2 linked regions of the Mus musculus genome follow. The protein of the gene in region 2 interacts with the protein of the main gene of each other region in a biochemical or structural test. Links are inferred from orthologs where the notes say so. Each region holds a gene or a part of one and is shown on either strand. Other genes may lie near its edges.

Region 1 (7,485 bases), on a different chromosome or scaffold from region 2:
ATTTTCTAAGAAAATGTTACAAATTATTCAATCTTACAGATAACGACTTATGCAACCTTGAAAATAACATACAACCCTAAAAGAGTAGGTAGGTTGCTTATTTTGTTATTAACTAGAAGAACCATTAAGACCACTTTCCCAGAAAAAAGGAACATGACTGATAGCTGTATATATGAATATAAAGTTATAGACTTCTGTGTTCACTTTAAAGCTACTTAAAAGTCAGCTTAAAGCTAAATTCAGTACTGAGTAAATTCCAACACATCAAAAACTTGTGTCAAGCTACAAACCAAAAACAGCACGATCTGTAAGCCCCAGACAAAACAAAGTCCACACATCTCAAGGAAGACCCTGCTGACTCTCCCAACTGCACCACCCTGAACACTTGCTGTTAACAGGATCTACTCTGAAATCATTCACTGGGTCCACTGAAAAAACATCCTCTCCCATCTACTTCTTAAATGTCAATCACCTCAGTATCTGCCACTCTGGGGATAGAAACAAGCCAGAGAGCACTAAAAATTATTAGGATGTCTTAGGGCTAAATAGACCCATTAATGCAGAGGGAAAACAGCAATCAGACACTCTTATCACTTTTTGAGTCTTCTGACTTCATAGTAGTTACAAAGCAAGCAACTAGAAAGCATCCATAAAATAAGTATTTAATTTAAGCCGGGTGTGGTGGCGCACGCCTTTAATCCCAGCACTCGGGAGGCAGAGGCAGGCAGATTTCTGAGTTCGAGGCCAACCTGGTCTACAAAGTGAGTTCCAGGACAGCCAGGGCTATACAGAGAAACCCTGTCTCGAAAAAACAAAAAACAAAAAACAAAAAACAAACAAAAACAAAAACAAAAAAAAAAACCTTAATTTAAAAAAGCTTTCAGCTTTCAGGCTCAGTGATTAAGTGGTTAAGTGGCTGCTCCTCTAAAGGACCCAGATTCAATTCCCAGCACCCATGTGGCAGCTCACAACTGTCTCTAACTCCAGTTCCAGACCATCACACCAAGCATACATGTGGTACACATATCTTTGCATGCAGGCAAAATACTCAAAATAAATAAAATACTCAAAGTAAAAATACCCAAACTAAAATAAAATAAATAAAATTAATTAATTAATTAAAATAAATAAATCTTTAAAAAAAATGCTTTTCAGATACACTACATAAAAACAGCAGTGTTAGCCAGGTAGCTGCTTGCCTTTAATGCCAGCAATCTGGAGGCAGAGGCAGGCAGATCTCTTGTGAGTTCCAGCCAAACTGATCTACAAAATGAGTTCAAGGTAGACAGGGCTATTAAAAGAAATTCTGTCTCAAAAAGCACCCCCCAACCCCCCACCCCGAGCCAAAAAAAAGTAAGAGAAAGGAAAAGGGGGAGCCAATGGATGTGTGACTCTAACTGCAAAATAATAACAGGATGTGAGAGAGTTCTGAGTATCCAAAGTGACCAATCAGAGCCTAAACAGAGAACTGAATTCCATCCCAGCCCCAGCACGTCCCTAACACAAGAATAAAACCCTTCTTATCTTGTTCAGCCATGTGTCGCCTGCCACAAACTGCAAAACAGAACAACGCCCAAAACCAGCTAGTCTGATTTCCACTGAGGACAGACAGACTCTGTAGTCAGAAGCACCACAATGAAAGAACTCCAACTCATACAGCTGCCCTGGTGGCTCTGCACACTCCACAGAACAAAGCCACACCACATACAGTACTTCAAACTTGAAAGGGTCTCAGAAAAGCTGCACTGGCATTATTAATTTGCCGACAGTCCTAGAATTGGTAAGAATCTATCTCCTGCTAAGTCAGTGGGAAAGGATGTACACAGGGCGGAGGAGAAGCTGCAGTCTATAGGAAGACCTGGCATAAGTACTATTAAACCAGTACTTCCAGATCTCACGTCAACATATACTCAAACCGGGAATTACTACCCTCTTAAAGAGAAAGGGCTGCTTCATATTTACAAAGTACGTTTGGAAAGAAGAAGAAAAAAGTAGTGGTCACCTAGTAATTCTCTTTTTAAAGGGGAAAAGAGAGCCACCAAACTCCAGTGCCTGACAAAGAACTGGATTTCAATTAGTTTTAGTCCAGGATCTTATTTTACATGGCTCAGTTGTCTGAAGCAACATAGTAGAGGTTTATGATGAGAAGTTATTTAGGCCTAAGCCCCACAAAGCATTAACATATTTAGACTGCTTCCCTTGACCAATGTAACTTTTTCCTCTATGTTAAAAGATGAAACACTTGGGTTGGAGAGATGGCTCAGTGGTTAAGAGCACTGACTGCTCTTGCAGAGATCCTGAGTTCAATTCCCAGCAACCACATAGTGGCTTTCAACCATCTGTAATGGGATCCAATGCCCTCTTCTGGTGTGTCTGAAGACAGCTACCGTGGACTGTCATATACATTAAATAAATAGTATTTTTTTTTAAAAAAAAGATAAGAAAAAGATGAAACACTTAAGGTGGGGCAGTGGTGGTGCACGCCTCTGATCCCAGCACTCAGAAGGCAGTGGCAAGAGGATCTCTGGGTTTGAGGCCAGCCTAGCCTACATACAGATAGAACAGCCAGGGCTACACAGAGAAACCCTGTCTTGGGGGAAGGGAGGCAGATACAACACTTGACTCCACAGAATGTGCATCCACTGTTCTCACATAAATATCTAAGAGCAAGAATCCAGCAGGGAGGCAGTCCACCTCTTCAGGAGACTTAGGCAGGGGGAGGACTGCCATGCTACACACAGCCAGATACAAGAAGAAAAATGGGGTGGGGGTGGGGGGCTAAGAGACGGCTCAACAGTTAGGAGCACACCCATACTGTTCTTGTTCTGGCAGAGGACCCAAGTTACATATCCAGCACCCAGGGTAGGCAGCTCACAAGCTCCCATGAAATCCTAAAGCCTCTTCTATCCCAGGTGCACATACCTGCAGTCAGGGGTTTTTAAGATTTATTTTTGTACATGTTTACGGTTCATAAGAAGAATTAAGTTATTTTTTTAAAAAAGACTCAGATTTCAATGTTTATGTCCAATGTGTTTATATACCAGAAAGAGAACAAAAATCCCTGAGGAAAAAAAGCTGGGGAAGAAAAAAAAAATCCTTCCATGGGTGCTTTTGTGTGACTTTTGTGTGGAACGATTCAGTGACTCTAAATTCTGTTTCTACAAATTATTAAACTCTGCAACATCTTAATGAAAACCAGGGCTACACCAGTTTCTGGTAAGTCTGCTTAACTCTAGGCTCAACTGACAGGCAAGGACTGAATGAACCAGCAGCACAATTATCTGGACACCTGTGAGTCAGGCCAGGAGAGGGACCAGGATGGTAGATGTAACAGGAAGAGCCCTGACAACTGTCTCTACATAGAAGTACATTGTATTAGCAGGAAAACCGAAATGAAACCCTGCCTAGCAAAGCAGACAAACAAAGGATAAACATAAGTACTTTAAATATTTAGGGCATCTTTTAGGTGAACACTCATGTGACACTGGAAAGCATCAACAGGAAAGGGAAGCCCTGTCTCTGGAGAAGCTGTTATGGTATGATAATGGAATTTGGCCCCTTTAAAAATCAACAAATGAGTCGCACAATTGGGTGAGACTCTCTCATTAGGAAACTAAACTGCTTTCCGCTGGAGCACTAATGTTGCTCTTGAAGACTTTTGGCCTTCTGCTTCAATACTTTGTTTTGCTTTGTTTTGTTTTGTTTTATGACAACAATTTGAGAAAAAAAAACAACAAGATAAAATTTGGAAGTAACATGCAATGTCATAATTTAGTTGAGGAATAAAATATGCTAAAGGAAGCAACTTGCTTTCACTAAAAAGAACTCAAAGGACCTCTTTAAGAACTACACTTGGACTACATACTCTACACACCACACCGTGTCACCCGATTAACAAACAAGATCCACCTGCCATGCCTAAACCAGAGCTAGAGTTTACATCTTTAAATGCTAGGGCTTCTGAAAGATGAAATGTTAAAAAAAAAAAAAAAAAAAAAAAGAATAATTAGAAGCAGGCCCCATGATTTTTCCCTCATTTCCTTTAGCTCCTGGAAACTGTCCCCAGCAAGAACCCGTGATTTACTGGTAATGTCAACATTCTGGAAAATTAGGTAATTAATAATTAAACACTGTGCAGGTCAACACGTAAAAAGATCAGAGTCACAAATCACAATGCAGCAGGATGAAAATTAAGTTCACAGACAGAAACTCCTAAAATTGTGAGTCTAGAACTACCACAGGACAGGAATCCACCCGATGATGCACCAGTACCCACCGACCTCAAGCTCTGACCTTCACCCAAAATGACCTCCCTCTGGTTCCAAAACGAGTACACAATCTTAATGCACCCGACAGAAAACCACAATCATGGTTTTCCTTCATTTCCTCTGAGAATATGGGGGAAAGTTTCTCTCCCAAAAAAACCTGCATTTCCAAATTCAATCAACCGGTTAACTTGGCAGCAACCCTAGACTAATTGCACAGCTCCGAAACAACCCTCTTTCCTATGCCTGTCAATTGCACTAGCTGAAGGCAAATCTGCATCACCGACTCCCCTGCTGCGTGGGACCGAATCCAGGGAAGGTTAGCGACCGAGGAACTTCATACCCACCTGTCCGTGATAGTAGACTGTGTGCCACTCATTGGGGCCCTTGGCGAGAGGTCTTCTTTTTATCCAACTTGCATTTTACAGTAACACCTCCACACCCCACCCCCAGTGCTCTGGGATCAGGCCCAATTTCGGCAGGGACACAAAAGTCCAACTCAAAACTCCATTCAGTCATCTAGAACATCCGATTGCAAGGGGTCAAGGAAAGGGGATGCGGGCTGAGGCAAAACAAGTTATCTCCCCAAACAAACCGAGCAAGTCGGCCACAAGGCGAGCTCAAGAACTAAGAACGATCCTCAGCAAGGCACGGAGAGAAAACTTCGTCACAGAGGGAAGTCGCGAGCCGTAGGACGGGAACCGGGATCCCTCCGGAGCTGGGGCAGGATCGGCTCAGGGACGGGCGTCGGCTTCGGTCCCGAGTCGGCGGGGCCCGGCCCTCGGGTCCCCGCTCTATCTGGGGCTGCGGGCCACTCGTGGCCGCAGCCTCCGCCGCGTCTCACACCGTCCCGCGCCGGACTCGCGCCGCCCCATGTCCCCGGGCCGAGGGCCCTGAGCTGCTCCGCGCCGCCCCCACCCGGCTCCGGCCGCCGCGCTGACAGGGACCCTGTCTCAGCGCCCGGGGCAGCTCCCCATCCCTCGGAGGCCCCCGCGCTTCTTCCGCAGTGGCACGGCGGCTCCTCCCCGACGCTCTGGTAGGCGGCGGCTCCCGCGAGGAGCGGGAGGTCTCGGCCCGGCCCGGAAGCCCGGCCCCCGAGCAGCGGCGGCGGCGGTGGCGGTGGAGGCTCGGTGCGCAGGGCCGTTCGCCCGGTCTCAGGGGCACTCGCGGGAGCGCGCCCAGGGTGGAGGGGGCCGCCGGCGGTGACGAGCCTTGCGACCGCTGCGGGCGGGCGCGCGCGCGGGTTCCGGTTCCGGTTCTGTCCCCTCGGCCCGGCGCGACTGGAGCGCGCCGAGCCGTCCCCTCCCCCGCCGACTTTTTTGGGCCCTTCTCCCTGGGACTTCGGGAAGCCGCTTCACCCGGGATCCCTCCGCTTCCCGGACTCTCCAAACTTGAGCAGATACTTCCGCTCAGTGCTGTCGCGGGGGATAGAGGGAAGCGAAAAAGTAGTTCTGTGTGGCGAAGCGGGCACTGCTGCCTTCTTGCCCCTCGAATGCTCTCGAGGTGCAGCCCACAGTGTACAATCCACCCGGGACAGCAGAGGAGCCATTCCACAGTCTCGAGGAGTTCACGTTTAGAGGTTCTTCGGAACTCCCGGGCTGGAAACTTTTATTCTTTAAGAGAATGTATTCGTTCCCGGTGTCAAATGCTTTTGATGACTGCGTGCGAGCCCAGGTCCACGGGCCCCCGACAGTGTTAGGCAAACCTGCGCGCGCGCGCACACACACACACACACACACACACACACACACAGGTTTTGGGGTGAGCCAATCACCTGGGGCACCTGCTGGCCTAGTCCCACAGCACGGAGGGGAAAGGGGTGGGGGGATGGCCAGAAGAGGCTGTGGAGAAAGGATCTGGGCCCACACTTAAGCCAGGAGTTCCTGATATAAATATTGCTTTTAGGCTGTTTTGCCTTGGCAAAATGAACTGTATTGTTTGCCAAATTGAGAACGCATGGTGCTTTCCACAGCAAGTTAATAAGCGTGTTGTGAAAAGAGATGGAAGAAGTAATACATCTGTCCGGTAAACAGCACAGCACGAGGGATCCCTTTGAAGAGTTCCCAAATGTTTTCTGGTTTCTCTTTCGATGGGGTAGAGACATTCAGCTAACCATGTAGTTTTCTGATTGAATAAATCTGTCCCTGAGGAAATGAGGGACCACGACACAATATAGTTCTCCAATTCTGCCTGTAAACATCAAGCGACTATTCCTTTTATACAATTATCTTCAGTCTCTTCTGAGCTTCAATCCGTGTAGGTGGGAAGAGACTTCGGCCATTTTGTGGAAATCAAATCTAATAAACAGTGGGTGTGGAAAGGAAATAATTACCTCTTAATAATGCTGTTTCTAAGTCATTCCACAACAGTTCGCGAAACGATCGGATCATCACCCCTGAATAGATGCATGAGCTCAAGGTGACGTTAGAATGGGGGGCAAAGGGGAAAAGATAAACAGAAGCCTGAAATGACTCTCTCGCTAGATTTTTTTTTTTTTAAGTTCGGGGCACAGCCAGCTAATTTTGTAATGTTTATTTTTGGAAAGAATAGAAGCAGATTGGAGTTCCAAGCCACTTTCCTAACGATCAGACCTGGACACGTTGCCATCTGCTGGTAAATCCCAACATGGCAATTCTAGCCTGAAGACTCCAACTTGTTTCTACCTATCGTTGGAAAGAGTTCCAAACATCCATCACTATAAACGAGATGTGAACCTTCTCCCCAAGCTTACTCGAGTTTTCTTGAGTGTGCTGTCCTCTTCTCCCTTGTCCTACTAATGTCACAATGCAAGTATCAAGCGAATGGGGGGGGGGGGTCTGATGACTCATCAAATCATGAATTTTAAAAATAAGTTCCCGTCTTCCTTTCCAGCCTGCCTCAATGCTTGAGCTTCAGGGGTGAGACAAACTGGGAACACTTCCTAGTTCACCTTCTCTTCCTTGCATACAAAACCTTTTGGCAAGCTGTTTTCAACATCTTTCCAAATTTTACAGCCCCAGCGTTCTAGCTGTGAGCAAAGGCGGCATTTTGCTGTGGGAAAGCTTTCAGAAGATGGTCAGCAGAGGACTGAATAACTACTGTTTCAATGATGAAAATCTCTAATCACTCACAAGGCTCTGATTTTATTTTTTAATATCCTGACAAAAGGCTCATTATAACTTCACCACTAAGAGTCTACCTATGGAATGCCTTCAGTAGAGCCAAGCAAACCAAGGTCCCT
Region 2 (7,499 bases):
TTTACTAACTCATACAGAATCCTTTGTCTTCTGGCCTATTAAAGTAGTAAGTTAGACAACATTTACCACAAGAATGTCTGTCCACGTGGCCAGCCATGAAGACTCACACCACGTTCACCTGAAGGGCACTCTTGATAAAAAGAGATGAATTCTGACATTTTCATCCACCTGAAAGTATTTCAGGGCAGCCAAAAATAACCTTTCTCAAGCTGTAAACATACAGACTGTGAGACTGACGAGACGGCTCATCTGTTTAAGGTGCTTGCCACCAAGCCTGAAGACCTGAGTTCGATCCCTGAAAAGCACAAAAGTATGGAAAGAGAGAACTGACTCCACAAAGTTGTCCTATGGCCGCCCGCCCGCATACACACACACACTCACACACACACACACACACACACACACACACACACATATGAGTGCCCATGTGCACCCATCATGTGTAAATACACACAAAAATAACTACTAACAATATCTTAACAATGGGCCGCTTCGTGAATTAGCATGCCATCCTCACCCAGAGACCATGCTAATCTTCCGTGGATCATTCCAGTTTTAGCAAGCTCTCCTGGGTGCTCTTTGGGGCTTCCGCTGAAGTGATCTGAGACTGAGTAGACCTGTCCCATGTGACTGAGCATTTATACGGTGGCTTACCCTAACAAGAAGCCCTTTCTACTGAGGCTCCGTTCAAACTTTAACTCCTCTGCCCACCCAGCCCCTAATTCTTCCCTCTGTCCTCTGCGGTCCCAGCACTGAGCAGACACCTAAACTCAGGAGGGGGCAGGACTCGTGTCTTTCATCAGCGCCTTAGTTCTGAGCCAGGGTCAAACATACAGTTTGACAAATGAAAGGTGAAAGGTCAACCCAGCAAAGACAACAAGGAAGCCAAAGAAGGTTCCTTTTCGAGACAGGGTTTCTCTGTGTAGCCCTGGCTGTCCTGGAACTCACTCTGTAGACCAGGTTGGCCTCGAACTCAGAAATCCACCTGCCTCTGCCTCCCAAGTGCTGGGATTAAAGGCGTGTGCCACCACTGCCCAGCCAGAGTAGGTTCTTGTTACCGTATTTTTTAGCTGAGGTTCAGCAAAAGGGCTCACCACAGCTAGCAGGTGGCAGCCATGGGTCCATGACTCAAAGTCATGTGTTTGCGAGCCTAAATCCCTGACGAAGGAAAGAAGGCATAGCAAGAGGTGTCAAGTTGTTTTTAGGTAATTCAGGGACCTCTGCCACCAAGCCTTGTTTAGTTCGGATCCTACCCCATGGACCCATTTCTCGGGATCTCTAGAAAAGTGACCCATCCTCCATAGAGGACAGGAGGGACAGACAGGATGGCAGAGATCACCTGCCCTCTTGGTCTGGCATGTGGGACAGCGGGAAGAACACAGCTGTGTAACCACAAAGCCACCGGCACAAGTGGCTCTGAGTGAGAGCTGTCACATCCCTTTTCAGCGTCTTGGTTTCTTCCTCTGCCCCATGTCTCCATGTCTATCATGTCAGGAGCTGCACTCTATGACCTAGGAGACTGAAAGAAGTCTGTCTAAAAAGCCTAAGGGGTGCTGGAGAGATGACTCAATGGTAAATGGCACTTGTTGCTCTTCCAGAGGACATGAGTTCAAATCCCGGCACCCATGTTGAACAGCTCATAACTGCCTGTAACTGAAGCTTGGAGGGGTGGTGGGGATCCAATGCCCTCTTCTGGCCCCTGGGGAAACTGACTTTTAAAAAGGCCTAGGGGGAGATTTAACTCAGAGGTAGAGTACCTGCGTAGTACACATAAGGCCCTGGTTGGATGGAAGGAGGGAGGGGAGGGAAGGCGAGGAAAAAGGAAGGGAGAGACAAATGACATGAAGACCAGACCCTGGAACCAGGGAGAAAAGCCTGAGACAGGGAAGTCCCCCTGGCCTCTTGGAGCACTCTATTCTCCTCTCTTGTTCAGGAGGACAGCTCATGAAGATGGACATCTGCTCAGAACCCCTAGTGCCCTGTACCCCTTCCAGGAGTTAGAGTCGGGTCCTAACAGACATGTTGCTTTCTACCTAAGGGTCCAGAGCAGCTTCTGGAAAAGCTGGGAGCAGAACAGATGGGGAAAGACAGCACGTGCCCTGCAGGCAGGAAGCAGCCCCAGGAACTGGGTTCTGAGCCCAGCCCTGGCAGCCCTGTTGCACTGTTGGAGCCTGGGGGCCAAGTGCCAGGACACTGCTAGCCCTCAGCCAAGGCTGGACAAAGGCCCTGAGGCCTGAGAAGTGTGTGCCAACATCCGGAGCTGCTCTCTGCCTACCTGCCACCTGTGCCAGTTGAAACCCACCCCACACTCATCTTTGAGTCTCTCTTGCTTGGAGGGAAACAGTGACAGCACTGGGTTCTAGTCCTGATATTAATGCACACGCCAGCATCCCTGAGTCCTGCCTTCCCATTTGAAAATGGGAGGGGGGGTCATCTTTTTTAAAGTTGCATGACATCAATAAGTAGCAGCTGGAGACAAAGCTCTGCTGCTTTCAGCAGAACCAAAAAAAGCCCAGGTAACATCCTCACCCCTACGTCCAGTTGGTTTAGTCCACCTGGGCCCTGCCTGCCAGCAGCCCACTTCTGGTGACAGCAATGGGAAGACAGGGCAATTCAGATCCCAGACCTCTTCTGCCAAATGCCCTTGCCAGCCCCCTTACCTGCCTTCTTCCTGGCCACAATGGCGCCAGTACCTGCAGGCTAGGCACTGTATCACTTACGTGTCATCTGCACGAAGAACAGCAGGGCCCTGTTCTCAAGTGAGCATGCACACCCTCACTGCCCCACAGCTCTGGTTACCCAAACAATAACACCCAGTCCACAGGCACCTCCATGGCCTGGGGGAGGGGACCCAGGCAGCAGGACCCAGGGTTTTGCACCTTGTCAGGCCCAGGAAGTAGAGCTAGAAACTCATCTGTGGTGCTGGAAGGAGAGGCCCAGACAGCTTGAAGATGGACTTAGGGCCACACAACATTTCTGAAGTGAAACTCAATGAAAAAACTCCTCTCCCCCATCCCAGGAAATGTGACAGTCTCCCCTCGCCTGAATTCAGGTGCAACAGTATTCAAACTAAGATGTTTCCGGTTTAACCTGGCCCCCATGAGGCTGCCTCTGGCCTCAGGATTTCCCAAAGGGAAGCAGGAAGTGCTGCCCTGGAGGAGGCCAGCACTCCTAGAACTCTACTCTCCGCGCTAGGGTAAAGCTGTGAGTCCCTAGGCTGAGTCCCTCCCTAGCCATACCGAGGTCAGGCCTCCCTTCCTCTGGAGGCCCAGGTGGCAGGGGCGTGCCCAAGCCAAGGAGTACACCTCTGAGCCTTCCCTGGGGCCTTGTGCCCCAGTCCTGGGGAGTGTGGGGGGAGCACCAGGGGCTGCAGAGAGCAGTGCTCCTCACCTAGGAGGGTGAGTCAGCCAGACAGCCTCTGAGCGCCTGTGTAGGGCCTGTAAAACCCCCGTGGCAAGGATCCCAGAACAATTTACTCCAAATTGCGCCTTCAGGTTGGTTACCTAATCCAGCCGCGCCCACCCTCCAATAGCCAGTGTAGCCCATCCCTTTAAAGGGGCAGCATGCCCTGAGTGCCTGGAGACTTGGGGATCTCACTGTGGATCCTCTCTCTGCCCGTGGTCCTGAGAGACAGGGCTCACAGTGACTGACCTGAGGTACCAAGCATAGGTAAAGGGGTTCAAGCCAGGAGAAAAAGCATCTAGGTTCTGGGATCAAGTGAGGTCTCCTGTACCCCAGCCTCCTGTACCCCAAAACAGCTCCAGTGAAGGAAGGCAGAGTTTCACCTGCCTCCTTCGCAGCAGGAGAGCAGGGAAAGTTTTAAAGTTGCTGGTTCAAAACTTGACCTTGATCCCAGGGTGACAGGACAGCACAGAAGTGGCCTCCTGCATGCTCAGGGTTGGACCACAAAGCCCTCAAAAAAGACAGGAGTTGCTTCTGGGAAAGGCTAGGTGGCAGAAGCCATACTGCCCAAGGGCTCAGCCTTTTTCTACAGGAAAGGAAGGAGGGAGAGAGGAAGACGGAGGCAGAGTCTCTTCTACAGAGACAGTCTTCACAAGATCTAAGGACTTTCCCCACTCTTCAGCATAATCTGAAGTAGGAAGACCCGGTGTCATTAGCTTTAGGGCAAAGGAAAGCAGGCTCCAACTCCAGAGGTGGTATCGTCCCACGTTCCATAACTGCCTGGGATTCAGCAGGGCTACCTTCCTAAGGTCAGAAGTGGAGGAACGAAGAGAGGTCTTGGGGAGAGGTTAAGGTGAGAAACCGGATTCCCATGATCCTTGTCTCTAGTAGAAGCCTAGACATCTGACCCAAGCCTTTCTCCCTTCTGCACTGATTGGGGCAACTCCCACAGCTACTAAAAGATGATAAGCGGGATGGGTCCTAGGTGTCAGATCTCAACACACCGTGGAGATTCCTCTCCTGGCTACTGCAGGGAGGTACTGAGAGCCCAGCAGAACCATCCCCTACACACGCACACCCGGAGCACAAGGGGGTGGAGCCGGACAGTGAGCTAGAGACCGGAGGGCACTCACGTCCCCGCGGGGCTGCAGAGACGCCGCGGGCCGCCCCCGCCCCGCCCCGGTGCGGATCCGGGCTGGCCGGCCGCCGCCGCCTGTCCCCCCAACCCCCGCCCCTCTCACTCACCTCCGGGTCCAGCGGCACCAGCTCCATGAGCGGCCAGGGCTCCTTGAGCTGGGCGAGCGGCATCGCGCCGCTGCCGGACCGCCCGCGCTCCTCCCGGCGGCCCCGGGCAGCGCTGCCTCTGGGCCACGGGGTCCCTGCTGCTACACCGAGACCCCCGCACGCCCCTGAGCCCCTCGCGCTCTGGATGGGCCGTCCGCCGCCGCCGCGGCACTCGCACTTCGGCTCGCTCCGTCACCCGGCGCCGCCGCGCCCATTGGCTACCTGCGCGGGGGCGGGGCCTGAGTAGCCCCGCCCAGTCCCCCCACGGCGCGGCATTCCCGGCGCGGACCCCCGCCCCCAACGCGCCGGGAGTCAGCCTTGCCTTCACGAGAGACCCCAGCCCACTGTCGGCCCTGCCCACCGGAGGCTCCGCGGGTTCCGTTTTCCCGGGCTTTGTGCCGCTTTGCAGACCTCGCTGGGGCCTCCGTTGTCCTGTCCTAGCAGCCTTTGGGATGTTAACCCAGATGTGCCTTCTCCCTCCAGGGGGAGGGGCTGCCACCCCACATTTACATGGGACGTCCTGGGCCTGATCCCGACTGAGGCGTGGAAGGAGCCTGGGCCTTGTGCCCTCTGGCTCTCAGCTCTCCAAGCCCTTAGGATCGCCCCCTTCCGAAAGCTTGTGCACATCACGGGAGCCCACACTTTGGGGTCTCCATGTGATCCCCGGGTCCCAAGCCAGCCAGCGCCAGGACCCACAGCGCCCCCAGGGTGATTTCCTAATACGCATTTTTTTTTCTCCTTCCTAGTCTGTTGTGCCCTATCACTTGAGGGCGCTGGTTTCAGGCCAGGTCCGCGCCTCTTCCGTGGCAGACCAGATTGTGGTCTGACTTGAGCAGGAGTCCCTGGAAAGAAGGCAAAATCCAGTTCTGGTGGGATCAGGATTCTCTCCAGTAAGATTTGGCCTGCTCTTAAGGAGATTTTAGGCCCCAGGTGTCGTGAGACTTACTCTCAGGTGAAAGACAAGCTGGCTCGTTTATTAAAAGCCTCCAGCGAAGACAGGCGTCATTGATAGGGAATTTATTTTTTGTTACGTTTCCTTGCTTGGTTATGGCCATGGAACCCAGGCTTTGCCGGCCAGGTCGTGTTGAGTATCTCCGACCTCCACCTTCAGGCAGCTTGTGATTTTTTTTTTGAGACTCCACCCCATCCTAGTAGACACCCTAAGCTATTTATCCGAAGTCACACAGCAGGTCAGGAGCACACTGGTGTTTAAAAGAGTGTGGGGTGGGTCCGTGGATGGACTCAATGGGTAAAAGAGCTTGCCTTCCCTGAGTCTGATCCCCAGGCCCCATGTGGTGGAAGAGAACCAACTCATAAGCAGTCCTTTGACCTCCACAAATGTGCACAGGGACAACCTTCCCCGATAAAGACATTTTAATGCAGTACATTTTTAAGTGGAGAGAAGTCACTCACGCCTCTAATCCTAGCAGTAGGGAGGCAGAGGCAGGAGGATCTCTGTTCAGGGCTAGCTTGGGCTACTTAGCCAATTCTAGGCCAGCCAGGGCTACACAGTAAGAACCTGTATCAAAACAAAACAAACAAACCCCCCAAACCCCAAAAACCCAACTAAGTAAATAAATAAATGAATAAATAGAAATAAATTTAATCCAGGAGATTCAGGCCAGAGGATTGTGACTTTGAGGCCAGTGTGGACTGCATAATAGAGATGTTGTCTAAAAATCAAAAATTAAATTAAATCAAAAAAGAAATAAAAACAGATGCTGTTTTCCCAGTAAGCATTTATAATCTCACTGCGGAGGCTACTGACACAGGATCTCATTGGTCAGCCAGGCAAGCCAAATAGGTGAGTTCCAGGTTCAAAGAGAGACTCACACAATAAAAAGATAAACCTGTAGCCTAGACATACATGGTCACTCACATGCACATGTTCAGACATCCTCATGCACAGGTACCACAGACACATGCATACATACATGCAGACACATGCACACAGACATGTGCACACATGCATACACTCACATGCACAGACACATGCATACATACATGCAGACACATGCACACAGACATGTGCACACATGCATACACTCACATACACACAGACACATGCATACATACATGCAGACACATGCACACAGACATGTGCACACATGCATACACTCACATACACACAGACACATGCATACATACATGCAGACACATGCACACAGACATGTGCACACATGCATACACTCACATGCACACAGACATGCACATATGCATGCAGACGTGTACACAGACACATGCACATATAACACACATTTACATGCACATATGCATACATGCACAGGCACAAAGACACATGCACACATGTGTATATGTACATGCACATATATGTACAGACACATGCATACAGACACACGTGCACACACATACACAATGAAGTCGACACCAATTTCTCGAAAATCTACATGCCCCCTTATCCCGAGTCTCCCCTTTAGTGGAATGGATGACTTGAACTGCATTTTGAGTAGAAAAGACTTTGGAATCCAAAAAACCCCATAGATTTGAATTCCAGACCTGCCCTCTCTTTAAGCATTGGACAACTCCTGTCTTTTTTGTTTGTTTTGGTTTTTTTGTTTTTGTTTTGTTTTTTGTTTTTGTTTTTCAAGACAGGGTTTCTCTGTATAGCCCCGGCTGTCCTGGAACTCACTCTGTAGACCAGGCTGGCCTCGAACTCAGAAATCCACCTGCCTCTGCCTCCCGAGTGCTGGGATCAAAGGCATGCGCCACCACGCCCGGCCAACAACTCCTGTCTTTAAGTTCAGCTTCTTTATCTGAAAATTGGGAATTATAACTTCAATCTTTTAGGTCTG

Evidence for each region. The genes of interacting proteins can lie anywhere in the genome.
Region 1: the proteins of Rps6ka1 (region 2) and Arhgef12 interact in a test that uses a peptide from one of them, tested with the Homo sapiens proteins (2 studies listed by BioGRID and IntAct, with this or other methods). The link is inferred for Mus musculus from reciprocal best matches to the Homo sapiens genes RPS6KA1 and ARHGEF12.

Annotation. Positions count from the first base shown.
Region 1 is NC_000075.6:43,100,567-43,108,051, forward strand, and holds the start of Arhgef12 (rho guanine nucleotide exchange factor 12), read right to left. Parts: upstream 5,153-7,485; 5' UTR 4,645-5,152; coding exon 4,613-4,644; intron 1-4,612. UniProt on the Homo sapiens protein: May play a role in the regulation of RhoA GTPase by guanine nucleotide-binding alpha-12 (GNA12) and alpha-13 (GNA13). Acts as guanine nucleotide exchange factor (GEF) for RhoA GTPase and may act as GTPase-activating protein (GAP) for GNA12 and GNA13.
Region 2 is NC_000070.6:133,882,923-133,890,421, forward strand, and holds the start of Rps6ka1 (ribosomal protein S6 kinase alpha-1), read right to left. Parts: upstream 4,876-7,499; 5' UTR 4,711-4,875; coding exon 4,648-4,710; intron 577-4,647; exon of another isoform or gene 477-576; intron 1-476. UniProt on the Homo sapiens protein: Serine/threonine-protein kinase that acts downstream of ERK (MAPK1/ERK2 and MAPK3/ERK1) signaling and mediates mitogenic and stress-induced activation of the transcription factors CREB1, ETV1/ER81 and NR4A1/NUR77, regulates translation through RPS6 and EIF4B phosphorylation, and mediates cellular proliferation, survival, and differentiation by modulating mTOR signaling and repressing pro-apoptotic function of BAD and DAPK1.